6 linked regions of the Macaca fascicularis genome follow. Each later gene encodes a partner of the first gene's protein in a complex. Links are inferred from orthologs where the notes say so. Each region holds a gene or a part of one and is shown in the gene's direction. Other genes may lie near its edges.

What was found.
Region 2: EXOSC9 (region 1) and EXOSC4 share a complex: the UniProt entries of both Homo sapiens proteins name them as parts of the RNA exosome core complex. The link is inferred for Macaca fascicularis from reciprocal best matches to the Homo sapiens genes EXOSC9 and EXOSC4.
Region 3: EXOSC9 (region 1) and EXOSC1 share a complex: the UniProt entries of both Homo sapiens proteins name them as parts of the RNA exosome core complex. The link is inferred for Macaca fascicularis from reciprocal best matches to the Homo sapiens genes EXOSC9 and EXOSC1.
Region 4: EXOSC9 (region 1) and EXOSC6 share a complex: the UniProt entries of both Homo sapiens proteins name them as parts of the RNA exosome core complex. The link is inferred for Macaca fascicularis from reciprocal best matches to the Homo sapiens genes EXOSC9 and EXOSC6.
Region 5: EXOSC9 (region 1) and EXOSC3 share a complex: the UniProt entries of both Homo sapiens proteins name them as parts of the RNA exosome core complex. The link is inferred for Macaca fascicularis from reciprocal best matches to the Homo sapiens genes EXOSC9 and EXOSC3.
Region 6: EXOSC9 (region 1) and EXOSC2 share a complex: the UniProt entries of both Homo sapiens proteins name them as parts of the RNA exosome core complex. The link is inferred for Macaca fascicularis from reciprocal best matches to the Homo sapiens genes EXOSC9 and EXOSC2.

The regions. Positions count from the first base shown.
Region 1 is NC_088379.1:126,880,449-126,885,179, forward strand, and holds part of EXOSC9 (exosome complex component RRP45), read left to right. Parts: intron 1-869; coding exon 870-1,007; intron 1,008-3,798; coding exon 3,799-3,881; intron 3,882-4,731. UniProt on the Homo sapiens protein: Non-catalytic component of the RNA exosome complex which has 3'->5' exoribonuclease activity and participates in a multitude of cellular RNA processing and degradation events.
Region 2 is NC_088382.1:153,748,809-153,753,798, forward strand, and holds EXOSC4 (exosome complex component RRP41), read left to right. Parts: upstream 1-1,923; 5' UTR 1,924-2,031; coding exon 2,032-2,202; exon of another isoform or gene 2,203-2,519; intron 2,520-3,233; coding exon 3,234-3,440; intron 3,441-3,531; coding exon 3,532-3,891; 3' UTR 3,892-3,939; downstream 3,940-4,990. UniProt on the Homo sapiens protein: Non-catalytic component of the RNA exosome complex which has 3'->5' exoribonuclease activity and participates in a multitude of cellular RNA processing and degradation events.
Region 3 is NC_088383.1:106,397,016-106,402,251, reverse strand, and holds the start of EXOSC1 (exosome complex component CSL4), read left to right. Parts: upstream 1-2,018; 5' UTR 2,019-2,040; coding exon 2,041-2,071; intron 2,072-2,178; coding exon 2,179-2,294; intron 2,295-4,709; coding exon 4,710-4,784; intron 4,785-5,236. UniProt on the Homo sapiens protein: Non-catalytic component of the RNA exosome complex which has 3'->5' exoribonuclease activity and participates in a multitude of cellular RNA processing and degradation events.
Region 4 is NC_088394.1:70,113,448-70,118,875, forward strand, and holds EXOSC6 (exosome complex component MTR3), read left to right. Parts: upstream 1-1,698; 5' UTR 1,699-1,738; coding exon 1,739-2,557; 3' UTR 2,558-4,008; downstream 4,009-5,428. Other genes in the region: AARS1 (alanine--tRNA ligase, cytoplasmic), read left to right, coding at 266-379, 722-907. UniProt on the Homo sapiens protein: Non-catalytic component of the RNA exosome complex which has 3'->5' exoribonuclease activity and participates in a multitude of cellular RNA processing and degradation events.
Region 5 is NC_088389.1:61,540,922-61,545,652, forward strand, and holds part of EXOSC3 (exosome complex component RRP40), read left to right. Parts: intron 1-605; exon of another isoform or gene 606-800; intron 801-878; coding exon 879-1,030; intron 1,031-2,137; coding exon 2,138-2,339; 3' UTR 2,340-2,360; exon of another isoform or gene 2,361-2,578; intron 2,579-2,673; exon of another isoform or gene 2,674-2,797; intron 2,798-4,155; exon of another isoform or gene 4,156-4,731. UniProt on the Homo sapiens protein: Non-catalytic component of the RNA exosome complex which has 3'->5' exoribonuclease activity and participates in a multitude of cellular RNA processing and degradation events.
Region 6 is NC_088389.1:13,177,891-13,182,621, reverse strand, and holds part of EXOSC2 (exosome complex component RRP4), read left to right. Parts: intron 1-346; coding exon 347-412; intron 413-1,824; coding exon 1,825-1,893; intron 1,894-3,102; coding exon 3,103-3,279; intron 3,280-4,016; coding exon 4,017-4,145; intron 4,146-4,650; coding exon 4,651-4,731. UniProt on the Homo sapiens protein: Non-catalytic component of the RNA exosome complex which has 3'->5' exoribonuclease activity and participates in a multitude of cellular RNA processing and degradation events.

The DNA.
Region 1 (4,731 bases):
ATCAGACTGGTCTTGAACTCCAGACCTCAAGTGATCCACCCACCTTGGCCTCCCAAAGTGCTGGGATTATAGGCGTGAGCTACTGTGCCTGGCCAGAATTTGATTCTTGATTAGGGTATTTTGACAAGCATTTTTATTCCAGAGAAGTCATTTAGCTTTCCATATTCCATACCTAAGTATAATACTTCCTATTTGCATTACTTGTAAAGTTACTAAAAATATCACAAAACCTAAAAGGTTAACGTTTTTTAATTTTTGAAAATATTCATTATTTTCTGTTAGGGACAGTGACACTTTCATCCAGGCAGGAGTGCAGTGGTGTTATTATAGCTCACTGTAACCTTAAACTCCTGGGCTCAAGGGATCCTCTCTCCTTAGCCTCCCGAATAGCTAGGACTACAGGCGCATGCCACTCCACCCAGCTAACTAAAAAACTTTTTTTTTTTCGTAGAGATAGGGTCTTGCTGTGTTGCCCAGGCTGGTCTCGAACTCCTAGGCTCAAGCAATTCTCCCATCTTCGCCTCCCAAAGTGCTGGGATTACAGGTGAATGCCACTGTGCCTGACCTAGAGTTTGTGGTTTTTAACAGACATGATAAAAATGTAATTAGATTTGAGGTTAGGAAAATCTTAGTATTAAACATTAGAGTAGTTCTGTCTATTTAAAGTATGTGTTCTATGATTAAACGACTCACATAGTATTTCAGATGTTTGGCTTAAATTTTCTAAAATACATTTTTTGTTAACAAACTAGAAGGAGTAACTGCATCTTTTAACAGCAAGAAAAATTACTTTGTGCACAATGTTACTTTTCTTGATAAATAGCCACTGGTTGTAATCAGGATTTATTTTATTTTAAATTCACTATCAGGTTTGGCAAATACGTGTAGACCTACATTTATTAAATCATGATGGAAATATTATTGATGCTGCCAGCATTGCTGCAATTGTGGCTTTATGTCACTTCCGAAGACCTGATGTCTCTGTCCAAGGAGATGAAGTAACACTGGTAAGCTCTTATGTGAACCAGGATCCTTGATACGAATGAATGAGGAGGGTCCTAAATGTGCAGGAAACTTGTTTTTAGTGAAGTTATGTTGTAGATGGCAATTGGGTAGGTTCTAAAAATTTGTTCATAAGACTAAAACTGCATATGGTCAAAATTGCCCTTGAAATCTCTTAACAGTTCCTCTATTGAAACATTTGTCAGTAAGAACATACCGTAGCATGGTTTTCCAGAATAGAATTAGATGACTATTTTGGATTGAGCATTAGATGAAGTGTTTGACTTATGTTTAAGGGCCATATGTGTGAAAAATAAATGAATCTCAGCACAGTGAGATGCTTACCCTGCAAGAGGTATGCAATAGCTGAAAAGCACTGAGGAATCAGCAGATTCATATTTGTCTCCAGGATGTTTGTTCATTAGGCAAAGAGCTGATGAAAGTCCATCAGAAATACCCGGAGGGCTTGTTAAAACATATTGCTAGACTCTACTCCCAAAGTGAAACAGGGCTACGACTTAAGAATTTGTACTTTTAACTTTGAGTTCTTAGGTAATACTGATGTTGCTGGTCCAGGGAGCACATTTTGAAAACCATTGACCTACATTTTCTTTATCTTTTGTTCTGAGTATGTCAGTTTTAATTTATATAAATTACATGCTAGAATAATGAAAGTGCACCGTAGTTGTAGTTTGAATCCTGAAGTTGCAAAAGGACACATCAGATGCCCAGATTTTCTAAACAATGATTCATAATTTTGCTTTTGGGCAGTAGACTGGAGCAGAACCGTTAAAAAGTGAGAAGTAGGGACAAAGGTTTATTAACAGTAGAGGTAATATTCTTTTAGAGGAGGGAGTTTATATAAGGAAGTGAAAAAAAGTAGAAAGCGATTACTACACTTGAAAGATCAATTAAAGAATACTGTGGTGTTCTTGCTAGTGGGAATGTAAAATGGTACAGCCATGTTGGAAAAGTTTGGCAGCTTTCTTAAGTTTTAAGTGTAGACAACATTCTATATTCAGAAAAATAACATTAGAAGGAAATACTTTTTTTTTTTTTTTTTTTTTTGAGACAGGGTCTCACTCTGTTGTCCAGGCTGGGGTGCAGTGGCATGATCTCGGCTCACTGTACCCTCTGCCTCTTGAACTTAAGCAATCCTCCCTCCTCAGTCTCTTGAGTAGCGGGGACTACAGGTGTGTGCCACCCGCTTGACTAATTTTTGTGTTTTTTGTAGAGATATGGTTTCACCAAATTGCCCAGGCTGGTCTTGAACTCCTGGGCTCAAGTGATTCTCCCACCTCGGCCTCCCAAAGTGTTGGGATTACAGGCATGAGCCACCATGGCCAGCTGAAAATACTCCTCTCTTATATGTACATCTTTCAGCAGATTTAACCTTGTAATTTTTTTTTTTTTTTTTTTTTTGAGACAAGAGTTTCACTCTTGTTGCCCGGGCTGGAGTACAATGATGTGATCTCAACCCACTGCAACATCTGCCTCCCGGGTTCAAGCGATTTTCCTGCCTCAGCCTCCCAAGTAGCTGGAACTATAGGCATGCACAACCACGCCTGGCTAATTTTGTATTTTTAGTAGAGACAGGGTTTCTCCGTGTTGGTCAGGCTGGTCTCGAAGTCCCCACCTCGCCTGCATCGGCCTTCCGAAGTGCTGGGATTACAGATGTGAGCCACCGCCCCCGGCCGACTTTATAATATTAAGACAAATTGCAATGGCTTAAAATTGGAAAAAAAAAAAATTCTAGCAATTCCATGCCTAAGAATCTACAGGAGGAATAAGAGCTTATTGTGTTCAGAGACTTGAATGCAAATATTCATAGCATCATGTATTAGCCAGAAACTGGAAACAGTTCGAATGTCCAGCTGGTGAGTAGATAAATAAAATGTCATATATACAAATAATGAAATACTGTTCAGTAATGAAAAGAACTGAGCTACTGACAAATGCTGCAAGGTGCATGAAGCATGCTGAGTTGAAAGAAGCCAGGCGCAAAACATTACAATTTTTTTTTTCCATTTATATAGAATGCTCAGAAAGTCAGATTTACAGAGACAGAAATAAGATAGATCAGTGGTTCCTTGGGGCTAGGGTGGGAGTACACCAGACTCCTATGGACTACAGACAGATTCAAAGGAATTTTAGGGAGTAATGGAAATGTTAAAAAACTAGATTGTGGTGATGAGTCCATAAATATATCCATAACTACACATTTACTAAAAATTGAATCATATACTTAAAATGAGTGGGTTTTGGCTGGGCGCGGTGGCTCACACCTGTAATGCCAGCACTATGAGTGGCCGAGGCAGGTGGATCACCTGAGGTCAGGAGTTTAAGACCAGCCTGACCAATGTGGATAAACCCCGTCTCTACTAAAAATACAAAATTAGCCTGGCATGGTGGCACATGCCTGTAATCCCAGCTACTCGGGAGGCTGAGACACGAGAATCGCTTGAACCCGGGAGGGGCAGGTTGCGGTGAGCTGAGATTGTACCACTGCACTCCAGCCTGGGCAACAAACTTCGTCTCAAAAAAAAAGTGGATTTTATGGGATGTAAATTATATGTATGTCAGTAAATTTTTGAAAAAGGTTTTTGAAGAAGTTGTACAGTTTGAGGAACATGAGTGGCAAAATCAAACAGGCAATTATTAATATAAAAGAAGTTATTGGGTAGTCAAAGGAATAAAGGAACTTCATTTTTATTTTAGTATTTGATGTGCAAGATGATTTTTTTGTATGTTCGTAACTTAGTGACTATAATTATTAAACATTTTCTTTTGAAACAGTATACACCTGAAGAGCGTGATCCTGTACCATTAAGTATCCACCACATGCCCATTTGTGTCAGTTTTGCCTTTTTCCAGCAAGGGTAAGCCTCGCCTTGTTATGGGCCAAAATTACAAATGCAGCTAGGAATTTTATTGTTCTACTCAAGTATGTCATGTTAATATTAAATACTTCGCTTAATATTAAAACACCTTATAGTTCCTTTCTTTCTTTGTAAGGGCATTAGTTGGCAAAGAGCTTTCTCAATAGAAGTAACAAAACTCTTATACTATGATGAAGATACTTCTCAACGTTTTTCTTTTCATGGCATACTTATAAACTTAGGAGTTTACTATGGCATGGTAGTGTTTTATGTTTCCTAAGGATGTACAGGGGTTAAGAGAATTATATGCTAGGCTCTAATTTGGGAAAGTGGGATGACAATTACTGTGGGTTATTGGAAGACAGGGGACTTTGGAGCATATTAGATGGAGTAGTTCTAGGAGTCAGTTACAAGAGGGGATGGTTCACAAACTGGAGGAAAAAAATCTAATGTTCTTCAGTTTTCCAGTGTTTACTTAACTGCTAAATCCTTCTGTGGCTGAAAACTTGGAGTTTTTCAGGTCCATTTAATGGTACTTTCAAATGAAAACTTGAGCCTTAAATTCCTTTAGAAACAAGGGAAGATAAAAATATTTCACACAGTGTTGTGTACAAGGACTAGAGAAAAACTTTCAAGTTTTAGTGATTGTAAGTGTAGAGTTTCATCAGAGGAAAATGGGCTAGCATTGTCCAGTAGAAATAAAATGTGAACCATATATATAATTTTCTTATTTTCCTTTTTTTTTTTTTTTTGTTTTTTTTTTTTTTGAGATGAGATCTGGCTTTGTTGCCCAAGCTGGAGTATAGCAGTGCGATTTTTGCTCACTACAACCTCTGCTTTCTGGGCTCAA
Region 2 (4,990 bases), on another chromosome or scaffold:
CCTGAGTTGCTATGGTCACTGCTACACAACTAGGGTGGGCAGTCCACAGAGCTCCCTGGATGTCTAGTCTTCCTGCATGTGGCAAGGACTGTCAGTGGACAGTCGAAACAACGACCCAGTAATGGCCAGGTGCAGTGGCAGGAGGCCGAGGCAGGTGGATCACCTGAGGTCAGGAGTTCAAGACCAGCCTGGTCAACATGGTGAAACCCCATCTCTACTAAAACTACAAAAAAAAAGTCAGCAGGGCATGGTGGCGCATGCCTGTAATCCCAGCTACTTGGGAGGCTGAGGTAGGAGAATCGCTTGAACCCAGGAGCTGGAGGTTGCAGTGAGCTGAGATCGTGCCTCTGCACTCCAGCCTGGGTGACAGTGAGACTCCGTCTCCAAAAAAAAAAAAAAAAAAAAAAAACCAAAAACCTTCCCCAGGCATAGTGGCAGGTGCCTGTAATCCCAGCTTCCCAGCTACTTGGGAGGCTGAGATACAAGAATCACTTGGACCCAGGAGGTGGAGGGAGCAGTGCGCTGATACTGTGCCACAGCACTCCAGCCTGGGTGACAGAGTGAGACTCCATCTCAAAAAAACAAAACAAACAAAATGACCCAGTAAGAACAGGGACAGGAAGAGCTCAGACTGCAAGGGGAGAAGGGCCTGGGCTGCTCCACAGTACGCAGTGTCTGGCTGCAGAGCCAAGGGTGGGGAATCGGTGGTGGCCAGTGGCAGAGGATAGTGGCCTATCATGGCCTCATACCAGCTGCAGCAGCAGGGCTGTGGCTTGCTCACTCATTCTCATGCCTCTCAGTCTTTCAGGAGAGCATAACCACCTCTAAGGGGATGCTGAACTTGGGCCCCTGCAGCAGACTGCATTTCCCCAGCCCACCTGCTGTTCCTACAGTCTAATATTGACACTCCTCTCACTGAAGGGTGGGGTCCCTGTCCCCATCCCTTAAGCCTGGGTAGATGTGTCTGACTGCCTTGACCCACAGAGTCTGGCAGGAGGGACACTATGTGACTTCTGAGGCTAGGTTCTAAAAATATCATGCACATGTTGTCCATCTCATTGTCCTGGAAGGCTACCCTTGGAACCCAGCTGCCATATTGCAAGGAAGCATGGAGAAGCCACAGGTAGGTGTGCTGCCTGACAGCCACAGATGAGGTCCTGGCCAGCCACCAGCATCAGCCACCAAAGATGTGAAAGAGAAAGCTTTAGGATGGCTCCAGCCCCAGCCACCATCTGGCAGCAACTGTAGGAGAGAGCCTACGTGCAAACTACCTAGCTGAGCCTAGATAACCCAAGACTGCAGGACATAATAATAGAATGATTGCTATTTGAAGCCGCTGAGGTTAAGTGGCAAGAGATAAACAGACACACAACCCCTCTCTGGAAAGGATGAGGAAATCTGCAACCTCAAAAGGAAAAGGGAGGCCCACTCGACTGCAGTGTGGAAGCCCGGTGTAAAGGGAGGGCATGAGAGGACTGGAGAGGTGCCAGGTGTGGACCATCCTGGGACACCAGCCTGGTCACTTTTCTAGCACCGCTCTATGCCTTCTCCTGTCAGTGTCGCAACCCACTGGGTTCATCCTTCCACTTCCACACTTGGGGCGCGGGGAAGGGCTGAATGTAGGCACCACTGGTCCCGAGGGCGTGACGGGAATTTCTCCTTCGGCGGGCGCCCACCTCCTGGCACCCGGGACACAGCTCCGGGAACGGCTGCGGGCTCAACCGCTGCTTCCCCGACAGCGCCACCGCAGTTCCCCGGAGACAGAAGTGAAGCCGAACCGCCAGAAACCGTAGATCCAGGGAGGTCGGTGCCGCGAGGAACTCCAGTTCTCCGGGACCGGAAGTGACAGCGGACCGCCGGAAACCGTAGATCCAGGGAGGTCGGGACCGCGGGGAGCTGTAGCTCCCCGGAACCGGAAGTGATAGCGGACCGCCGGAAACCGTAGATTTGGGGAGGTCGGAGCCGCAGGGCGCTGTAGTTCTCCCGCGAATCAGAGAACTAGGCAGAGAGCGGAGCTGGCGGCCGGGCAGCATGGCGGGGCTGGAGCTCTTGTCGGACCAGGGCTACCGGGTGGACGGTCGGCGCGCCGGGGAGCTGCGCAAGATCCAGGCTCGGATGGGCGTGTTCGCGCAGGCTGACGGCTCGGCCTACATCGAGCAGGGCAACACCAAGGCGCTGGCGGTGGTCTACGGCCCGCACGAGGCGAGTGGGCGTGCGGGATGGGAATCGCGTGACCGCGGGATCTGCGGGGCAGCCGGGCTGAGCACAGGTTCGGGGACTTGAGAGGTGCGGCCGGCGCGCCTCAGTCTACACAGCCGATGCTCAGCACTGCATCTCACTCGGAGTAAACGCAAGTCTTTAGTGTGCTGCGCGGTGGTCCTGCCTTTCTCATCGGTCTCTGTGCCTGCGCTCTCCCTCCTCTTTGCGGCTCTTCAACGTGCCAGGCACTCCCCCACTCGCTCCCTCTCCTCTCAGCTCTACTCCGACGTCACTCCTTCTCAGACGGCTTTATCCATGCGGTACTTCTCTCCCTACAATAAACCCTTGTCTTTTGTGCATCTACAATCTCAAATGCCTATTTTGCTTAAGCATTTTCCCGTTTCCTCGCTAGAACATAAGCTTCCTAAGGACAGAAACTACATAAAACTCTCTGGTTTCATTGCTGTGTTTCCAGCGCTGTAACTGTGCCTGGCCAGTGAAGGTATTGAAAGAGTGTTTGTTTAGCGCATGAGGGTAGGAGCTCTGCTTTCCAGGCGGAGGGAACCAGGAGGGCGAAGACCACGGTGGTGAAAACAAGCAAGGCACTCATGCATAACAGAAAGACTGCTGGTGGGGAAAGAGGGGATAACTCTAAATAAGGTTGAGAGTTCCCGGGGAGGTGAGGAATTAGGGTTTTGTAGACCAGGGAAATGATTTGGGATTTTATTTCATATGTAATGTGAAACCTTTGTAAGGTAATTAGGATTTGAGTGTGAAGGTGAGACAGAATCAGCCTTGATGTTTGTAAACTTGGGTTGGCAGGGAATGGGGCAAGGATGGGCACAAGGAAGCCAATTAAAAGATGCCAGAGGGCAACACATGCAAGACAGTGCAAAACAGGGGGCTTTGTTTTGGAGGTAATGTAGTTGCCCCTTGCTGAGGCATTGAAAGTGGAGGGAGAGGCAGACCCACAGAGGACAGTGGCGTGTGAGCTGGAAGGAGTGGGCCTGGCTCATGTGTCCGTCCTCTTCCAGATCCGGGGTTCCCGGGCTCGAGCCCTGCCGGACAGGGCCCTAGTGAACTGTCAATATAGTTCAGCGACCTTCAGCACAGGTGAGCGCAAGCGACGGCCACATGGGGACCGGAAGTCCTGTGAGATGGGCCTGCAGCTCCGCCAGACTTTCGAGGCAGCCATCCTTACACAGCTGCACCCACGTTCCCAGATTGATATCTATGTGCAGGTGAGCCGGCTGCAGTGTCAATCCAGGGAGGGGTGGGTGTGATGGGGTTGGGGAGAGAGTCTGATAGACTCACACCCTGGGGTCCCTGCAGGTGCTACAGGCAGATGGTGGGACCTATGCAGCTTGTGTGAATGCGGCCACACTGGCAGTGCTGGATGCTGGGATACCCATGAGAGACTTTGTGTGTGCGTGCTCAGCTGGCTTTGTGGACGGCACAGCCCTGGCGGACCTCAGCCATGTGGAGGAAGCAGCTGGTGGCCCCCAGCTGGCCCTGGCCCTGCTGCCAGCCTCAGGACAGATTGCGCTGCTTGAGATGGATGCCCGGCTGCACGAGGACCACCTGGAGCGGGTGTTGGAGGCTGCTGCCCAGGCTGCTCGAGATGTGCACACCCTCTTGGACAGAGTGGTCAGGCAGCATGTGCGTGAGGCCTCTATCTTGCTGGGGGACTGACCACCCAGCCACCCATGTCCAGAATAAAACCCTCCTCTGCCCACACAACCCTCACTGTACGTTAATCACCCAATAGCACTTCAGAGCCATGTGAAGCCTGGCAGAGCCTGGTCTGGTGCTGGCTCCTGGGGATGACCAGGGCCCCTCGCCCACACATGAACTGCCTATCTCTGTGTAGCCTAATTCAAACCCTGAAAAGAACAGTGGATTAGGGGGTTGCTGTGGGGGAGGTCCTGGGTGGAAAAAGCAACATGTCCCAGTAAGGACTCAAGGCAGCTGAGCAGGAGGCAGGGCCTGGCAAGATGAGCAGGTCATTGGACTGAGGAATCTGTTACCCTTACTCTGGCACATCCGGGGCCCTGAGCAAAGGGCTGAGGGAGAACTCAGCTGGCTCTGAGTACCCAACCTAGAGATGTGGGGGCCATGTCCCATGGCCTCTGGACTATGGCCTGGAGCCCCTTGGGCTTTTCCTGCTGCTTACCTTGGGCTCTAAAAAATGCAACAGCCAGGCATGGTGGCTCACACCTGTAATCCCAGAACTTTGAGAGGCTGAGGCAGGCGGATTGCTTCAGGTCAGGAATTTGAGACCATCCTGGCCAACATGGTGAAACCCCGTCTCTACGAAAAATACAAAATTAGCTGGGGGTGGTGGCACATGCCTGTAATCTGAGTTACTCAGGAGGCTGAGGCAGGAGAATCTCTTGAACCGGGGAGGCGGAGGTTGCAGTGAGCCGAGATCGTGCCACTGCACTGCAGCCTGGGCGACAGAGCAAGACTCCATCTAAAAAAAATAAAAGTACAAAAATTACCTGTTCTCATGGATCACTTGAGGTCAGGAGTTCGAGACCAGCCTGGCCAACATGGTGAAACCCCATCTCTACTAATACAAAAATTAGTGTGGTGGCAGGTACTTGTAGTCCCAGCTACTAGGGAGGCTGGGGCAGGAGAATCACTTGAACCAGAGATGAAGGTCACAGTTAGCCAAGATAGCACCACTGCACTCCAGCCTGGATGACAGCAAGACTCTGTCTCAAAAAAAAAAAAAAAAAAAAAATTGTTCTCACATGGAGTCTTCAGTTTTGACCCTTCTCTCTGCCCA
Region 3 (5,236 bases), on another chromosome or scaffold:
CTCCATTAGCTAATGGGGTACAGGGTGCCAGGAAATTGATATATGTAGTAAGTGGGCTGCAACTGAACATACAAACTTTTTTTTTTTTTTTTTTTGAGACTGAGTTTTGCTCTTGTTGCCCAGGCTGGAGTGCAATGGCACAATCTGGGCTCACCACAACCTCCGCCTCCTGGGTTCAAGCAATTCTCCTGCCTCAGCCTCCTGAGTAGCTGGGATTACAGGCATGCACCCCCACGCCCGGCTAATTTTGTATTTTTTTAGTACAGACGGGGTTTCTCCATGTAGGTCAGGCTGGTCTCGAACTCCCAACCTCAGGTGATGCGCCTGCCTCAGCCTCCCAAAGTGCTGGGATTACAGGCGGGCCACCGCACCTGGCCCAGACTTTTCATCTCAGGAAATAGAGGTAAAGCAAAATTCAAAAATATGTGTGTAGGGAAGAAGGGGGTAATCTCAGTGAACAGGGGAGGAAACAGAGCAAAGCGCAGCTTTACTACCACCCCAAGCACAAGCCCGAGTACTCTCATCCCTCAGTAACAGTCACAGGCCATAGTGGTCGTCTGCCACCAGACAGGAGGAGATTGCAGGCCACAGCACTTCCCTCTTCCAATGGCTCTAAGTCACCATCTGTTTCCCAAGGGGAAAGTCGACTGAGGGGACAGGGAGGGACAGGCGGCAAAGCCATCAGAAGTCAGGTGAACTGAGATCAAAGTCGTGGGCAATGTCATCTGGACAAGGACGCTGCTCTCGGGATGTTTGCAATCTCAAGTAGGAGATACCAGACATCAATAAAGAGTAGCATTTTATTCACGTGCAGACCTCCCTTCTGGGGTAACACGCTGAGAAGAAAAAGTAGCAACTTTATTTTGGGGCTGCTTATCTTTTGATGACGGGCCCACACAACCAGAGTTCGGCTTTTTCAACCTGAGAAAGCTTACTTAAGTGGGGATGGGAGGCCGCGAAGGGGATCGGACCGCAGGACTGGAAGCTACAGTTAAAAAACCGGGAAAAGGCCGGGCGCGGTGGCTCACTTTGGGAGGAATCACCTGTAATTCCTGCACTTTGGGAGGCTGAGGCGGGCGGCTCAAGAGATCGAGACCATCCTGGCCAACATAGTGAAACCCCGTCTCTACTGAAAATACAAAAATTAGCTGGGCGTGATGGCGCGCGCCTGTAGTCCCAGCTGCGCGGGAGGCTGAGGCAGGAGAATCGCTTGATGCCAGGAGGCGGAGGTTGCAGTGCGCAGAGATCGCGCCACTGCACTCCAGCCTGGCCAAAGAGCGAGACTCCTTTTCAAAAACAAAACAAAACAAAAACCGGGAAAAGGTTTTATTTCTCAATGACAGCCGCGAGGTGAAACTGCGATGGACTGGAAGTCAAAAATCGCGGGTTCCAGTTTGGGCTCTATCTTGAAGATTTTGGACAAGTCAAACCCGGTCTCTGAATCTGAGGTTCCACATCTGTGAAACAGACGAGTTGGGTCGCTTGACCTCCTTCCTTCCTGCTCTGAACGTAACGGTTGCTCGCAAGGTGCGCTCCGGCTGAGGAGGGCGCAGCCCCGCAGGGCAGGGCGAGGAGAGAGCAGGAACCCGGACTCAAGACAAGGCCCCAGGGCATTGCCCGACCCAGAAAAAGGGACTAGGATGGGGAGCAAGGGCCGAGGCTTCGCCCTTACCTGCCGCCTGCCGACTCCCCAGTCAGCCAAACCGAGCCCCGCAGCCTCTGCCGCCGCTCACTGCCACCGCCTCCGACTCGGCGCCCCGGCCGGGCCCGGCTCAATCCAAACCACCATGGCCCGCCGCCTGCAGTGCCACCCAGCGGACCCGGACCTGCCGCCAGCCCATCCTCAACCACACGCGCAGGCGCAAGCATGGAGCGCTGAAGTTCCGCCCCCGGATTTGTCCCGGGGTAACCTGGGAAATGGAGTTTACACGCAAGGATAAAGAACACCAATTGACGCGTATCTTACTGCGGAACTGTGCCTGGGTTTGGCCAATGAGAAATCGATTTCGTTTTCATCCGGGTTTTGGGACAGCGGCAATCATGGCACCACCTGTGAGATACTGTATTCCCGGTAAGTGAGCGCTTCCCGTACAGAGTCCTGGATAGGGGCCGAAGCAAGAAGCCTGGACGGCCTGCAGTTTCTGGGGGCCCATGACCGATGCAGCATTTTTTCTGCAGGCGAACGTCTGTGTAACTTGGAGGAGGGCAGCCCGGGCAGCGGCACCTACACCCGCCACGGCTACATCTTTTCGTCGCTTGCCGGCTGCCTGATGAAGAGCAGCGAGAACGGCGCGGTAAAGGAAGCGGCATGCCGTCTCCTCTCTCTCTGTTTTTCCCTTAGGCTGCCCTTGAGTTCCAGTCCTTAGGCATGGGCACTGCGGACGCGTCTTTAGAGCCTTAGTGGTACAATGTTGGTCTCTTAGTTTCTTCTAGCCGTATCGCCGCTGTTGTGCACTTAGCCACCACACACTAGTTGTGTTGATCTCGCTTGGTTGTGCTGCTGACCCTCGGGGAGGGAGGTTGGGACAAAAGCAGATGCGAACTCAGTAACCCAGCCCAGCTCAGCCCAGCAGTGCGTTGTATACTGTATGAATGTTGCTTACCTCTCCGGCTTTATCTAGTGCCACTATCTCCACCTCACTGACGCAATCTAATCATACAGTCTTTTCTATTTGTAAAAGTTATAATCACAGTTTTGGCTTGCCCTTTTAAAAAAATTTGTAACACACTAGCTTCTTTCAGTGTCGGTAATGTGCCAAGCTTTCTCCTGCTACAGAGCCTTTGTAACATGCCATCTATCTGGAACGCTTCTGTCTTCTTAGGCCTGTTTAATTCCTACCTCCGTTAGTTTCTGTATTATCACCTCAGAGAAGCCCTTCTGGACCCACTAATTGAGGAAAGGAGTTTTGTGGGATGTTTTGTTTTTGTTTGTTTTGTTAAAGACTTACAAAAAACTCTGTCCCTTTTCTTCCAAGCACTTATGTCAGCATATGATTAGACACTCAGGTATGTTTCCCACTAGACTTCTCCCTTGCTTAAATCTAAGTTCCACGAAGTGCAGGTGCTACCACCATACCATCAGTATCTAGCACAAAGCAGCTCCTCAATAAATGTTTGTTGAATGCGTAATACCTACCTTTCTAGTTTTAGAGATTGATCCAGGATTAGCTCAGGATCATATAAGCAATATTTGAAGGAGCACAGTAGAAAGAGGATTCAGAATTAGAACCGTTAGGTTCTGGCTAACTTGACCTCGATTCTGCTTTGAGTAAGTAACTTAAGCCGTCTGACTCAAGGGGCTTTCTATTCAGTCATTGTTGGGAATGTCCTTAACAGTCCTGAGTTTGTTCATTTGATAGATACCACTTGAGTATTTTCATGTGTCAGGCACAGCGCTGACTTGGTTTCTGCTATCAAAGGACACAGACACAAATTGTAAACAAATAAATGCTCAAATAAGCATATGGTTACACATGTGGTGGCTGCTTTGAAAGAATATTACAGGGCACCTTAAGAACATGTAACAGGCAAATCCATCCTAGTCAGCAGAAGTGACATTGAAGCTGAATCATCTAAAGAGTAGGTTAGAGTCAGGTGGGTGGAGAGAGTGCAATTCTGGCAAAAAGAATAGGTTGAAGAGAGATCTGAAAGTGGGAAGAATTTAGTAAGTTGGGGAAACTGAAAGAAGGCCAGGAGAGCTGAAGCATTGTAAGCAACGGAGAGATTGTTAAAAGATGAGGCTCAAAATATCTGTCTCATACTAACAGCCAATACCATGCTCAAAGAGAAAACTCTGCAAGTATTCACTTAAAACAAGTGTAGCTACTATTTGTAACATTTCTGTGGAAATTTCAGCCTGTGCAGTAAAATAAGAAACAGAAAGAAGCAGTATAACTTTGGAGGAAAGAATAAAATTGTCAGCCAGATGTAGTGGCTCACGCCTGTAATCCCAGCACTTTGGGAAGCCAAGGTGGGTTGATCACCTGAGGTCAGGTGTTCGAGACCAGTCTGACCAACATGGTGAAACCCCATCTCTACTAAAAATACAAAAAATTACCCGAGCATGGTGGCAGGCGTCTGTAATCCCAACTACTCGGGAGGCTGAGGCAGGAGAATCACTTGAACCCAGGAGGTGGAGGTTGCAGTGAACCGAGATGGCGCCATTGCACTCCACTCTGGGCAACAAGAGTGAAACTCCATCTCAAAAAAAAAACCAAAAAAAGTAAAATTGTCAATGATTATAGGCAATATAGTTGTATACCAAGAAATTCTGAGAGAATCACCAGAAAACTTATTGGAAGTTTAGGGATTTACTACAAAAAAAATTAGCCGGGCGTGGTGGCAGGTGCCTGTAGTCTCAGCTACTTGGGAGGCTGAGGCTGGAGAATGGCATGAACCCGGGAGGTGGAGCTTGCAGTGAGCCGAGAATATGCCACTGCACTCCAGCCTGGGCAACAGAGCAAGACTCCATCTCCAACGACAACAACAAAAAAAGAAGTTTAGAGGTTTACATCTTCTAGCAGCATTCTGTAGCCCCCTGGTCCTCCTATTTCCTAAAATTTCTAAGGCCTTCTGCTCTGGCCTATAAATGAATGCATACTCCAGCTCTCACCTGTGTACCAAGACATTCCTATATTACTCTCAAGACACAAATGCTTTGACCCAAGAGTTAGCCAGGACATTTCAGTTTTTTCTTTTTCCCTCCGTAGCTTCCTGTGGTGTCTGTAGTAAGAGAAACAGAGTCCCAGTTACTGCCAGATGTCGGAGCTATTGTAACCTGTAAGGTAAGTTTGTCCTAACTTCCATGCTTAGAATGCCCATTCAGTGCTGAAATCATGACCATGCCAGAACTGCAGTGTCCAGTATGATAGCCACAAGCTACATAAATGTATTTCTGGCGGGGCACAATGGCTCACACTGGTAATTCTTACACTTTAAGAGGCCAAGGCAGGCTGGGCGCAGTGGCTCACGCCTATAATCCCAGTGCTTTGGGAGGCCAAGGGGGACTGATCACAAGGTCAGGAGATTGAGACCATCCTGGCTAACACGGTGAAACCCCGTCTCTACTAAAAATACAAAAAAAATGAGCAGGGCATGGTGGCGGGTACCTGTAGTCCCAGCTATGTGGGAGGCTGAGGCAGGAGAATGGCGTGAACCCGGGAGGCGGAGCTTGCAGTGAGCTGAGATCGCGCCACTGCACTCTAGCCTGGGCAACAGAGCGAAATTCTGTCTCAAA
Region 4 (5,428 bases), on another chromosome or scaffold:
TGTGGCTCTGAGCCAAGTGGTTGCCTAAGGGCCCACTGTCTGGGATTAAGGTTGGGAGGAGCAGCAGCTCCCTGCATGTGGGAGGCACACCTGGGCCAGGGTGTGGGCAGGGCCCTACACTGGGGTCCTCCACCCAGGCCCTGAGGACTACATCTGCTCTGGGAAGGGGTGGGGGTGGGTGGCGGTCCTTCTGAGGGCTGCAAATGCTCACACTAGTGAGGGTCCCTGCTCCAGCACTATGGTCTGAGCCATGTTCTCCCCACAGGCCCTGAATGAAGCCTTGAAGCTCTTCAAGACACACTCCCCTCAGACGTCTGCCATGCTCTTCACGGTGGACAACGAGGCTGGCAAGATCACTTGCCTGTGTCAAGTCCCTCAGGTCAGAACCACCTTGCACCAGTGGGAAGTGTTGGGTCTTAAGCTTGTTTGCTGAGGCCTGTGTGTGTACAACCTGCATTTAAAAGAGCCTGTCTCCTGCCTGCCTGTTGGTCACCTTTGCCAGTACCCCTTACCTAGGCCTCCTCATTGGTTGCATCTGTCTGGTTGATACTTGGCTTTGCCACTCTGTCCTGTCCTGGCAGGGGCCATGACTGCCCCCTGCACTAGCCGTAAAGTCTGTCTCGGCCTCCAGCAGTATCACCCAGGGCAAAGGAGTGGGTGATGGCTCCTCCCTCAATCCCATTTTCTGTCCTGACTTCCCCCTTCCCTTTCTTTCTTCTAGAATGCAGCCAATCGGGGCTTAAAAGCCAGCGAGTGGGTACAGCAGGTGTCAGGCCTGATGGACGGTAAAGGTGGGGGCAAGGATGTGTCTGCACAGGCCACAGGCAAAAACATTGGCTGCCTGCAGGAGGCGCTGCAGCTGGCCACTTCCTTCGCCCAGCTGCGCCTCGGGGATGTAAAGAACTGAGCGGGGGAGGAGGTGGCTTCTACTGGCTCCATCTGTCCAGCCGGGAGCTCTTCATCTGCTACAAGAACATTTGAATCCTGGGACCTTTTGAGAGCCCCTCCTACCCCGGCCGTACCTGGAACACCCTCACGAGCAGTCCTGTGACTCAGCGCCCCTTATACTTCTGCCCTGAGCCCTCCACATCAGTGCCATCTGTCGAGAACCACTACCCCCGCATTGCTGTTGATCACCACACTCGCATCTGTAGATAACAGCTCTCCAGCCTGAGCTTTCCGTGTCAGCAAGGACGAATCGTTTTTTGCTGCAGAGAATAAAAGGACCACGTGCAATACTTAATGCTATATGATCTCTATCCCTCTTCCCAGGTGGAGCTCGCTGTTTTGACAGCCCTTGGCCCCTGCTGTCTGTAGAATAAATGCTGTGGCTTCTACTGGCTGCTGTAGTGTTCACCTAGTCCAGCCCCAGAACCCTAAATTTTGGGAAAAGCCCCTGGGGTTGCCTCAAACGTTTGTGGAGGTTGAGGCCAAATAGGTAGGGTGACATGGAGCAAGGCGTTCATAATTCAGTAGATGGGGTTAGTGGAAGCAGAGAAGCCTTGGAGCTGCTCTCCCGCTGCCTTCCAGCAGGAGGGATGGATCAGGCAGCCCTGCACAAGTGGGACCAGGGCGCCAGGGACGCCGGCCGTTCTCCCTCCGAGCCTCCAGCAGGCGCTGTAGCGTCGCCCGTCACTCTCCCGACAGCCCTCACGCAGGCGCGCGTCTTTAAGCAACGGAAGAACCAGTGGGTGCGGCAGTGCGTTGGGCGGAAGCGGCTCTCAAGCCAGGAGCCGCCATGCCCGGGGACCACCGCCGCATCCGCGGCCCTGAAGAGTCGCAGCCGCCGCAGCTGTACGCGGCCGACGAGGAGGAGGCGCCCGCCGCCCGCGACCCAACGCGACTGCGGCCCGTGTACGCGCGCGCCGGGCTGCTGAGCCAGGCCAAAGGCTCGGCCTACCTGGAGGCGGGAGGCACAAAGGTGCTGTGTGCAGTGTCGGGCCCGCGACAGGCCGAGGGAGGCGAGCGCGGCGGCGGCCCGGCCGGATCTGGCGGCGAAGCCCCGGCCGCGCTGCGCGGTCGCCTGCTGTGCGACTTCCGCCGCGCGCCCTTCGCGGGCCGCCGGCGCCGCGCTCCCCCGGGCGGCGGCGAGGAGCGTGAGCTGGCGCTGGCGCTGCAGGAGGCACTGGAGCCGGCCGTGCGCCTGGGCCGCTACCCGCGCGCGCAGCTCGAGGTGTCGGCGTTGCTGCTGGAGGACGGCGGCTCGGCCCTGGCCGCCGCGCTCACCGCCGCCGCGCTCGCCCTGGCCGACGCGGGCGTTGAGATGTACGATCTGGTGGTGGGCTGTGGCCTGAGCCTCGCGCCGGGGCCCGCGCCCACTTGGCTGCTGGACCCCACGCGACTAGAGGAAGAGCGCGCCGCCGCGGGCCTCACCGTGGCGCTCATGCCTGTGCTGAATCAGGTGGCCGGGCTGCTGGGCAGCGGCGAGGGCGGCCTGATCGAGAGCTGGGCGGAGGCCGTACGCCTGGGGCTCGAGGGCTGCCAGCGCCTCTACCCCGTGCTGCAGCAGAGCCTGGTGCGGGCGGCGCGCCGCAGGGGCGCCGCCGCCCAGCCCTGAACTAGAAGCCTGAGCAACGACGGACGCAAGCCGAGGACCGTGCTGCCGCCGTCCCTGAAAAGACCCGCGCCGTCGGCCTCCAGCCTGCGTCGAGGTAAGCAGCCGGAGCCCTGGAGAGCACCTGGGTAGGCTCTAGCAGAGCCAAGGCGCCGGACAGCTGTGGTGTTGGAAAGGGTTTTTACAAACCTCGTTAAAGGAACTTTACTTGAGCCGGCTCTTAGCTTCGACCCAGTTGAGGAAACCTGTGAGCGCATCCTGACTCCCAAGTTGGAAACTTTAGCTGGACTTACCTGGAAGCTGGTACCTAGAGCTGCTGTCATTCAGGCCAGCCAGTGACCCCCTCCGATATAACTGGGCGACTTTTCAGAGGATGGACAAGACGACTGTGCCTTCTGTGTCTGAGCCAAAAGAAAGACCCTTTTATATTTGAAAAACGTCTTATGGTGTGGTTCTTCTTGGTCCGGGATTTAAGAGAGCAAGGCTCTTTTGTTCTTGCATCCCAGGTGTCAAGGGTCGCGGCGGCATTGCCTTAAACGGGTTCTGTTCCTTAGGCCCACGTGAACAGGAGACGGGCTGAAAAGAGCTGCAGAGCCTGAGGGGAGCGCTGTGATTTGGAGAAGCAGCTGCCCCCACATGAACCAGAGTTAGGGGAACTGCTGAGATACGACGAGAGTAGGGAGAGTTGGCCGGGCCGGCGGCTCACACCTGTAATCCCAGCACTTTGGGAGGCCAAGGCAGGGAGATCACCTGAGGTCGGAAGTTCGAGATCAGCCTGACCAACATGGAGAAACCCCGTCTCTACTAAAAATACAAAATTAGCCAGCACTAATAATGGTGGCATATGCCTGTAATCTTAGCTACTCGGGAGGCTGAGGCAGGAGAATCGCTTGAACCCGGGAGGTGGAGGTTGCGGTGAGTGGAGATCGCACCATTGCACTCCAGCCTGGGCAACAAGAGCAAGACTCCGTCTGAGGAAAAAAAGTACGGCCCCAGAAGTGCGCTGAGTGCACCTCGTGCCCCAACCTGGCTTGGTGCTGGGTAGCTGAAAAGGGTTTTGCTCTGCGTAGAAGCCATCTGTCCTTGGCCATGTGCAGAATGGCACAACCCGAGCCTCCACTGCTGGTGAGAAGTGGCACCCTGGTCCTACAAGGAAGACCCTGAGCAGCACCGCAGAGGGCAGGTGCACTGCTAGGAAGGCCAGGTACAACCTGACTGACTCACCACGAGGTGGGGTCTTTCCTGTGTCGCTACCAGCTCTGCTGGTTTGGGCTCAAGACTGCATGGTAGGAAGCTAGGTGACTGCCATTTGGAAGGCGGCCTGGTCCCCTCTCTGCACTCAGCTTCTCTAGGAAGGGCCGACCTGGGTCAGCCCAAGGACCAGAATGAGTTTCTGGGGCCACACCCAGAACCCCTGACCAGGAAAAATACAAATTTTATTTTTTCCCTTCTGACATAACGTGTCTTTCTAGAGCAGGTCTGAAATAGTATCACACCAGTGGGGAGAGGACATAATGTAATTCTGAAGGGTGACTTCCTAGAGTAGATGGGGAGTCTGGAGCCCAAAGAGGGCTGTGTGGGGTACACACTGAGAACATTCCAGCAGTTTCAGGGAGATTGGAAACTCAGGGAGATCTGCTGGCTATCTGTTGACTGGCGGTGTATCGGGAGGGGAGTGAAGATCAGCTGTGTCTGCATTCAGACAAGGCTGAGGGTGCCCTCTGAGGGGAGGGGAGGGGAGGGGAGGGGTGGGGTGGGGTGGGGGGTGGGGGTGGGGGTGGGGGTGGGGTGGGGATGGGCTGTCATCTGCCCCTTGCAAGAGAGCCTCAGCTTCATGAGGATGGCGACCTGGTGCAGTCCCAGGCCACCTCCTAACCGTGTCAGTCCCAGGACCATCATCTCGAAATGCAACCTCTAAAGAAGCTAAACCCACCACTACAGGTTGGCCCTCTGCTTGTCTGGCAAGCCCTGTGTTCACTTCCATTGCCCCAGCTCCAGATCAGGCATCTCAGGTTGCTAAGGTGGCTTTCAAAACCTACGCAAGGCAAGGAGCTGTCTATCCGAGAATGCCAGGAGCTGATGAGGCTGGAGGGGTTCCTGCTGCCTCCTGGCTGGCCTGGTCTTCAGCGTGGTTCTTCACCTGTAGGGAAAACAGAAGCAGGATAGTGGCAGAGGGGCCGGAGGCATGAGAGGCTAGGAAAGGGGGGCCACCTACTCAACATCTAGTCTCCCCCACACCCCGATTTCCATTTCCTCCCCAGAGCTTTAGCAGCTCAGGGCTTCTCTATATTCTACCTAAGACCTAGAAACTCAGAACCACCAGGCTAAAGAAAACAGTCGTCTACATGTAGCCATTCTTTTCCCAGATATTACAGGTGTGACTCAGGATCTAGGCAGCAGTGAAAGCCCTCCTGAGCCCAGCAGACCGAACACAGAGCTGGGTGGGTAGATGGGGGAGAGCTCCAGCCCCATTGTGGGCCGGGCATGGCCTGCCTCAGACCGGCAAGAGGTGGTGGTTTTGGATGGGCAGGGAATATTCAGGTACTCTAATGCCACACACAGGGCTGTTACCAGTTCCAGGAAGGTTAGTGTGCCACAGCTTCCCCAGGGGGCATGGTCCATGCGGCAGCCAGAAACCCTGCAGCAGCAGGAAGAGCGCAGGAAGCTGGTTTTTTTTTTTTTTTTTTTTTTTCTGAGACGGAGTTTTGCTCTTGTTACCCAGGCTGGAGTGCAATGGTGCGATCTCAGCTCAGCAACCTCCGCCTCCCGGGTTCAAGCGATTCTCTCAGCCTCCAGAGTAGCTGGGATTACAGGCACGCGCCACCACACCAGGCTAATAATTATTTTTTGAGATGCAGTCTCTGTCACCCAGGC
Region 5 (4,731 bases), on another chromosome or scaffold:
CCATCCCCAGTTGTGACTTTTCTCATATTTTTGCTCTAGCACTTACTGGATTTAGCCTCGACTGAGGTTTGTTTATATGTACCTCCCCACTGCCCTCCAAGACCAAATGCTTCTGAAAAGCAGAGAATGTTTTGTTCCTCTCTAGTTTACATAGTCACCAACAAACAGTGGGTACTTAATATGTTTTGAGTGAACAGAATTGAGTTCACTCTCCATTTCCTCAGTTTCATCCCTTTAAGGTTTAGCTCTATGAGGTTTTTAAGTAAATCTTGCAGGGAGAAGTGTCAGTGAATTATTGTTTTGTTTTGCTTTGAATAATTTGCATGCCGGAGTTCCTCTCTGTAAATTGTAATTCTCTAGGGTAGTGCCACCTAACATAACTTTCTACAGTGATGCTGTTTTGTATCTGCACTGATTAGTATGGTAGCAGTTGAGCACTTGAAATGTGGCTAATGCAACTCAGGAAATTAATTTTAAATATCTAATTTTAATTAATTTAAATAGCTGTTGAGCACTTGAAATGTGGCTAATGCAACTCAGGAAATTAATTTTAAATATCTAATTTTAATTAATTTAAATATAAGTTTAAACAATTGGCTACCTACCATATTGGACAGTGCAATCCTAGAGGTGTTCTCTGGCCTTGAGATGGCCTCCTTGTCTGTGATTTCCTGGTTGGTGAAAGGGAATGATACATGTGTTCCTTTTTTTCCCCAAGACTCAACTTCAAAGTGACTGTGGGAATCCTGTAGTACAGTCAGTCCCTTAGCCACAGAACTGTAGGTGGCTGGCATTGATGCCTGTGAGAAAGAACCAATAGCAGCACCTGTAGAGTAGTTTGCTGAGAGGAAATGAACTGGTTTTTAATATCATTGTAGGTTGGAGATCTCATCTATGGCCAATTTGTGGTTGCTAATAAAGACATGGAACCAGAGATGGTCTGTATTGACAGCTGTGGACGAGCCAACGGAATGGGTGTCATTGGACAGGATGGTCTGCTTTTTAAAGTGACTCTGGGCTTAATTAGAAAGTAAGTCCTGATGTCTGCTGCCTTGCCTGCCTTCTTTTATAATTACACATTCTTGGAAAGTTGGTTAATCTTCAGGATTCAGATTATTTGTAACATTTAAATTTCTCCTCAAAGTTAAAAATCAATATCCATTTTAACACATTTGGAAACTCATGAATTTAATCCTATCTTCTTGGAAACGTATCAAATTCAGATGTGTTTGGCTGTGTTGTTTCTGGTGGGCTAATACTTCATGCTTTAAGCTCTTACTCTGTATTCATGTCTTCCCTCCCAGGCCTGTTCCTTAGTTGACTCAGCCCAAATGTGAAAACTGGCCTTTCCCCTGTTCTGAGTCACTTGAATACAGATGCAGTCTGCAGTTGTACAGAATTATCAAATTTTTCTAATTATGGGGGTCACACGCAGCTTAGATCGTGATGTTCAAGGTTATGTAGCCATTCACAGAAGGCTTCTGACACTAGGTCCTGGTAAGTTTAACAGTTCCCACTGAGGCAGATTCTCTTTTTGGTGTTTACAAATTTACCCACCCAAAGCTGTGCCATATTCAGGGGCTTTACTCCTAGAGCCCGTGAAGTTCAGAGCTATCTTGTATGCCTCTCCTTGCTCCGTATCCTAAAGATCTGGAGAATTAAGTTTGGACATCAGAGAAGCATGTTATTAACCAAGAAACATGTTATTAACCAAGCACCACCCTTATGGTTTGAAAGAGCCAATGTTCCTCTCCAAGTACTGTATTTAATGCAAGAGAATAATATGGTCAGGAAAGTAAGTTTAAAGTGTCTTTTAGCACTGTAGGTAACAAAAAAAGTTATGATTCTCAGTCTAGAATTAAAGTGCTCTAACAATCTAGTGGAATGACTTTTACATTTTTTGCAAAGTTGGTAACCTAGGGAGTTTGACTTCTTCGTAAGGGATAGCCCACCTCTGTGATCTCTAATATACCTTTGAACATTATAAAGTTTCTTGGAAGGAGGCAGCAAATGTCATCATGTGCCTTGTTCTTGTTGAACAACTACGGAGAACTCAGAAAAGGAATCACATTCTAAAGGAGACTCTGGACACCTTCGCCGCTTTATTAAATTTCATTTCCTTTTCTCTTCCCACCAGGCTATTAGCTCCAGACTGTGAAATCATACAGGAAGTGGGAAAACTCTATCCACTGGAGATAGTATTTGGAATGAATGGAAGAATATGGGTTAAGGCAAAAACCATCCAGCAGACTTTAATTTTGGCAAACATTTTAGAAGCTTGTGAACACATGACGTCAGATCAAAGAAAACAGATCTTCTCCAGATTGGCAGAAAGTTGATATAGGTGGACTTTTTTACAGGTCAGTTGATGCAAAAAACTATGGGTTTCCTGGGGAATACTTTTTTCACGTGAACCTCTCCCCATTTAAATACTCAGAAGATAAGGTGTGAATGTATATTATCAGAGTCCTAAAATATTTTTATAAGTAAGTTACTGGTTTTCACCCACGCTTTAGAGAGAAAATCATTGCAAAATCATATTTTCTGTTTCTGTACAATAAAGTTTACTAAAAAACAGTATTATGGTATATTTGGAGTTAACTCCCTTAGTATTGCTACAGCTTCCATAATTAACTGGAAGTCAGCAGTAAAATAATTTTCTGATTATAATAGTAAGCCAGGTTCACCACAGGAAGTGCAGACTACATGAAAAGTATAAAGCAGCAAAACATCACCTGTAGTCCCATTATTCAGGGGGTGAGTATATAACAATGAAATACTGTGTGTTTTCCATTTACCAAGTATTGTGTTTTGCATGGATTAACTCCTTTATTCTTACTAACTGCAGAAGACACTTATCCTCATAATTGAAACGGAGGTACAGAATTTAACTTGGCCTACATTCTCTGTATGTTCATCAAATTGAAATTATATTATAGCTTATATGCTACTTTGTAATATACTTTTGTCTCCTTCAAATAGCATGATACATTTCACAACTTCCATTAAAAATTCATTAGTCACATATTTCATGTTATAGGATATTTTTGATGTAGTATATTTGATATATTTTGATATAGTTTATTATTATATAAATAATGAGGATTTCTGAATCCAAATCTGGCCAAGTCTTATTTTGCTAAAATCATTTCCTAGGAGCTCAGCATAGAAAACTCTTCTATGCTATTTAGTATATTCACCAAAACCTTTAAAGGTAAAAAGACTGCCAGGCGATCCACATCAGTGATTCTTGGTTTCTAGACCTCTTTGAGAATATGTGAGATATAGATCCGCTGAAGCCTATCCATAGAAAGTCCTTTTTGGATGAAAGAGATTATAGAACTCATTGTTTATATGTTGATAAAGACCAAGGAGCTTTATGTGTTCCTAATGATGTTTTCTGAGGACTGGGCGGTTTTTTTACTTCAATAGATTTTAGGGCTACAAGTGGTTTTGGGTTACGTGGATGAATTGTATAGTGGTGAAGTCTGAGGTGTACCAGTCACCTGAGTACTATATATTGTACCCAATATGTCGTTTTTTTATCCTTCCCCTTCCCCCTTCTGGGTCTCCAGTGTCTTATACCACTCTGTGTGCTTACCTGTAGCTTAGCTCCCACTTACAAGTGAGAACATTTGGTATTTGGTTTTCCATTCTTGAGTTACTTCACTAAGAATAGCTTCTAATACTATCCAAGTTGCTGCAAAAGACACTTGGTTCTTTTTTATAGCTGAGTAATATTCCATAGGATATATATATATACCACATTTTATCCATTCATTGGCTGATGGGTACTTAGGTTGGTCGCGTATCTTTTATGATGAACTATCTGGCCGGTTTTTAAATAATAGAAAGATACTGGTGTAATTTATTAGGTGATCACAGTTCCTTAGGAATTAAATTGTGAAGGGGAGGGGACAGAGCAGAGAAGTAATCTTTTGGTTCTTTTGAGTTATTGAATACATTTCCTGAATTTGCTAGCTGCTTAACTAGCAAGTTAACTAACCCAAACTGTCAGAGTAACTGAAGCAAATATGTCCAACTGGGACATAAGGAACATGAGATTTGTGTAATAAGCAGGTTATCTAACATGCTCATGTGTCAAAATGTAACACTTTCTAGCCGTTTTCAAGACAGACTTTTATCAATACTGTGTTTGCTTTACAATTTAATCTGTTACAAATACATATGAAGAATCTAGTTGGTACCAGGCTCAGAGAGGATAGAAAGATAGGTACACAGATCTGTCCTGTTAGGATCCTGCCATTAGGAAGAGAAGTCCTCCATGTGCATACTCCACAGGGTAAGAGCCATAGGAGGGAACAAAATGCTATGGGGACTCAGTAGGGATAGGTCAGAACAGGCTGGATCCTGCAAAGCTTATTACAGAGCTGGGAGACGATAAGCATGATCAGACAAGGCTGGAGAAAGTCATCCAATTTTATGATGCCAGTTTAGTGAATATTAAACTCTTGATATAACCATTTAAACAATTTCAAGAGGTCTCTCACAAATAGATATACAACAGTTCAATTAGCACATCCAAAGCCATGTGGTTTTGGGGCTAATTCCTTGTTACATAAATTTCTTTTTTTTCTTGAGACAGTCTTGCTCTGTCGCCCAGGCTGGAGTGCAGTGGCACAATCTCGGCTCGCTGCAACTTCCGCCTCACAGGTTCAAGTGATTGTCCTGCCTCAGCCTCCTGAGTAGCTGAGACTACAGGCACGCGCC
Region 6 (4,731 bases), on another chromosome or scaffold:
ATATCCAAGCAGGAGTTAGTCTGGTCCTGCTGGACCACAGAGAGCTGTCATGGAAGATGAGTGTGGAAATGTTGGCTGGGTGAGATTGGGAGGGGTTGGAATGCTCCTCAGGGAAGGGAGGGAAAGAGGAAGAGAAGAGGACTATGGAAAAGTCTCTTGCGATGGAAAGTCGTGATTATCACTCATTCCCCTCAAGTGGCTCGGGTTACCTACTTTTGCCATAGTTCTCAGTGTTTGAGTATTGTGGTTGGCCTCAAAAATCTCAAAAGGAAGTGAAAGAGAAAGAAGTGATGGAGACCTTTCTGAGGACCTGGCTTCAGTAATGTCATTTCTTTGTGTATTTCAGAGGAGAAGATCTGCAGAAGATGAGCTTGCGATGAGAGGTTTCTTACAGGAAGGGGACCTCATCAGTGTATCCTGTGCTTTGCACTGCAGCCTCTTCATGCTTTTCTGTGGGGCTGGGAAATGGGCCTTCCATTGTATGTCTCTGACGGAAGAACCGTTAGACCAGGTGTCGGGCTCTGCTGTGTCCTTTCTCGGTCTCCTTAACTCAGGCTGACTCCCCAGCTCTTGTTCAGACCTGCTGCTAAGTCATTTCTTTGGGTCTTGTAACTTATGGTAGCCTGTGCTTTAGGCTTTTGTTAATGATGTTAACTTTTAGCCCAGGGAGTGGAAGAGGTGTTGTTCACATCAAGATATTAATGACAGGCCGAGTGTGGTGGCTCATGCCTGTAATCCCAGCGCTTTGGAAGGCCAAGGAGGGAGGATTGCTTGAGCCTAAGAGTTCAAGACCAGCCTGGGCAACATAGCAAGACCCCCTCTCTACAAAAAAATAAAAATAAAAAATTAGCCGGGCATGGCGGCACATGCCTAGCTACTCAGGAGGCTGGGGCCGGAGGGTTGCTTGAGCCCAGGAGCTCAAGGCTACAGTGAGCTCTGATCACACCACTGCATTCCAGCCTGGGTGACAGTGCACGACTCTGTCTCTATTATATGTTATTTAAAATTTTTTTTTTTTTTTTAAGACAGAGTCTTGCTCTGTTGTCCAGACTGGAGTGCAGTGGCGTGATCTCAGCTCACTGCAACTTCCGCCTCCCGGATTCAAGCAATTCTGCTTTAGCCTCCCGAGTAGCTGGGATTACAGGTGTGTGCCATGCCCTGGTAATTTTTGTATTTTTAGTAGGGACGGGGTTTCACCATATTGGCCAGGCTGGTCTTGAACTCCTGACCTCAGGTGATCTGCCCACCTTGACCTCCCAAAGTGCTGGGATTATAGGCATGAGCCACCATGCCTGGCCTTTAATTTAATTTAATTTAATTTATTTTTTTGAGACGGAGTTTCGCTCTTGTTGCCCAGGCTGGAGTGCAATGGTGCGATCTTGGCTCACCACAACCTCTGCCTCCTGGGTTCGAGCGATTCTCCTGCCTCGGCCTCCTGAGTAGCTGGGATTACAGGCACCTGCCACTACGCCCAGCTAATTTTGTATTTTTAGTAGAGACGGGGTTTCTCCATGTTGGTCAGGCTGGTCTAGAACTCCCGACCTCAGGTGATCCACCCGCCTCAGCCTCCCAAAGTGCTGGGATTACAGGCATGAGCCACCGCGCCTGGCCTTCTGTCTCTATTTTTTTAAAAAAGATATTCATGACAACCAAGGGGAGAAGTGAGGTCCCAGTGATGTCCTCTGGGTCTGTCTAAGATTGTTGAGCCTGGACCATTGGAGAGGGGAGGAAAAGATGGAGGTGTGGGGTCAAGGGGCAGAGGCTGCAGAGGACAGGACAGTGTGTGGCCGAGGCTACTGTTTGTTCCTTCATCACCCTGGCCAGGCTGAGGTCCAGGCAGTGTTCTCTGATGGAGCTGTCTCTCTGCACACGAGGAGCCTGAAATATGGAAAAGTAAGTTGGGCTCTTGATGTTCCTGTTTGCTGACTGAGATTGCAAGGCTATTTCTTAATCCCTATAGCTCTCTGGAATTCTGGCCTAAAGAACCCCAGTAGCTAAGCATTAATAGAGGTTGGCATCCCACAAACTGATCGTGTTCCTTAAACATAACATGAGGGTTCACAGGTCAGGGTTCACAGGGTCATGGGTCAGTAGCTTTGTAAAGAACAAGTTTTATCCTTTTTCTCCAGGGAGACTGACTCTTTGGACAGAGGAGCCCGTCCAACTGTGGGCTGGGAGGTGCAGCTGTCTCTCTCCCTCCAGGGGGCGCTGCAGCTCAGCACTGGGGCCGGGGCTGAGGCGGTCCTGGGAACAAAGGGAGGCTGGGCCTGGAGAAACAACCCTTGGACAAGCGTCCAGTCAGTCCAGTGGATGTTATTGCTGGCAAAGCTTGCTCTGTCATCTGAGCCTCTAAATGGAATTTCACTGCTTTTCTTGTACGAGGTTGCATTATTGAAGCTATTTATTATTTTAAGGAGAGCATACTTCCTAAAACAAATTAGGATTTACTAGTCTCTCAGCTTTATCTGGGTGAACACTTTTATTTTCTGAGTGGAACAAAACCTCTTCCCTTAATGGAGTGGCTGCAGCCAGCCACGTTCAAGTACATGGAGTAGGCAGAGGACTGCTGCAGTATGCTGACTTTCGCAACCCTGGGTCCTGTGGACTCGCCCTTGGCAGGACATGCACTTGAGCTGGCCTGCCAGGACCAGACATGGATTTGCACCCAGCTCCACCCAGCTCCTTACCTACCCAGAGGCACACATCTCACAGGCAAGATGAGTGTTTGGGGTTCAGGTATGAGCTAGGGTCCTGGAACAACACAGTGCTACTGGACCAGCAGGAGGCTTCAGCTCCCTCATTGGCTTCAACTTCTCTAATGTCTGGCACCTGAGTTCTGGCTTAGAGTGCAAGGGAGACTGTAAAGGGAAATGACAGAGAAGAGCATTGAAAGTCACCTTCTGCTGGGATGTATGAATAGCCTCTGAGTCCCCAAGTGTTCTCTGCAAAAATGTGTACTATGGGTGTGCGTATAGGCGACAGCAATTGTAAACAGGAAGGACACCAATTTGAATATACTTAGGATGTGTATTCTGTAGTCTCCTTTTCATTCATCCCACTGATGATCCTGTAGTGACCTAGCTTTGTGATGTATTTCTTTAGCTAGGTCAGGGGGTTTTGGTCCAGGTTTCCCCCTCCCTGGTGAAACGGCAGAAGACCCACTTCCATGATTTGCCATGTGGTGCCTCAGTGATTCTCGGTAACAACGGCTTCATCTGGATTTACCCAACACCTGAGCACAAAGAAGAGGAAGCAGGGGGCTTCATTGCAAACCTGGAGGTGAGCAAACACTGTGGCCACTGTCGGTGGGAAGGATGGGACTCAGTCTTTGCTGTGTTTTTGTGGCCAGTGAAATTGGTGGTTTTTAGCTCTATTACTGCTGTAGGCTGAGTCACTTTGACTTTCCATCAAGGTGTATTCATGAACCCCATATTATCTTCTCTCTTCTAAGGAGATGAACTCAGTGAATGGTTCGATGTTTGTTGGTGGCGATGGCAAAGTTGCAGGGTAACGCCGAAGAGCCACTGAAGAAGCCATTCTTTTTTCTGTTTGTTTGTTTGTTTGTTTTGTTTTGAGACAGAGTCTCACTCTGTAGCCCAGGCTGGAGTGCAGTGGCGCCATCTCGGCTCACTGCAAGCTCCGCCTCCCGAGTATAAGAGATTCTCCTGCCTCAGCCTCCCGAGTAGCTGGGATTACAGGCGTGCCCCACCATGCTCTGCTAATTTTTGTATTTTTAGTAAAGATGGGGTTTTACCATGTTGGTCAGGCTGGTCTCGAATTTCTGACCTTGTGATCCACCCGCCTCGGCCTCCCGAAGTGCTGGGATTACAGGCATGAGACACTGCGCCCTGCCCCATTCCTTTTAATCTCCCTTGGAGTTAGCTGTTTGGTTGGTTTGGAGTTCCAGGGTGATATTTTCTGATTCATAAGTAATTTATTTGTGATTTTCTGTGGCTGGTCACGTATTTTGGTCCTGTTTATATTTCCCTTCCCTTCTCCTCTGTGTCTCCTTATAGCCTGTCTCTCTTGCTGATCGAGAGGTGATATCCCGGCTTCGGAACTGTGTCATCTCGCTGGTAACTCAGAGGATGATGCTGTATGATACCAGCATCCTCTACTGCTATGAAGCATCCCTTCCACATCAGGTACTCTCCTCAGGACCTCTCACTTCTTCATTGATCTGTGAGCTGCTCTGTTGTTTGCGCAGAGACAATGTGCGTGTCTCCCAATACTTTCCAGACATCCATCAGTATGAACTGGCCTGAAACAGCCCTAATGAGTGTCTGGTAGATCTTTCCCTAAGATACTTGCAGGATTCTCAATGCGTAGTGTCAGTCTAAGGATTTTAGGGCTGGAGGTGTCAGGTGGGACTAGTTTATGAGAGCAACCTCGGACTGCATCTTACCTATCCCAGATTTCAGCCAGCTTTTGGATGGATGTCAGAATAATTGTTCTTGTCGGCTACATCCCAGAGAATCTTGCTGATGTATCAGGCTGCTTTAGCAGATCATATCTTGTAACGCTTAGTCTCTGAGACATGAAAGGAATACAGAAAGTTTATGTTAACGGCTTGATTTATGTTTGGATTGGCTTGGTGGTCTGTTTATGGTTGGTTTCTCTTCTGAACAAATGCCTTTTTCCCTTTTTTAGATCAAAGACATCTTAAAGCCAGAAATAATGGAGGAGATTGTGATGGAAACACGCCAGAGGCTTTTAGAACAGGAGGGATAA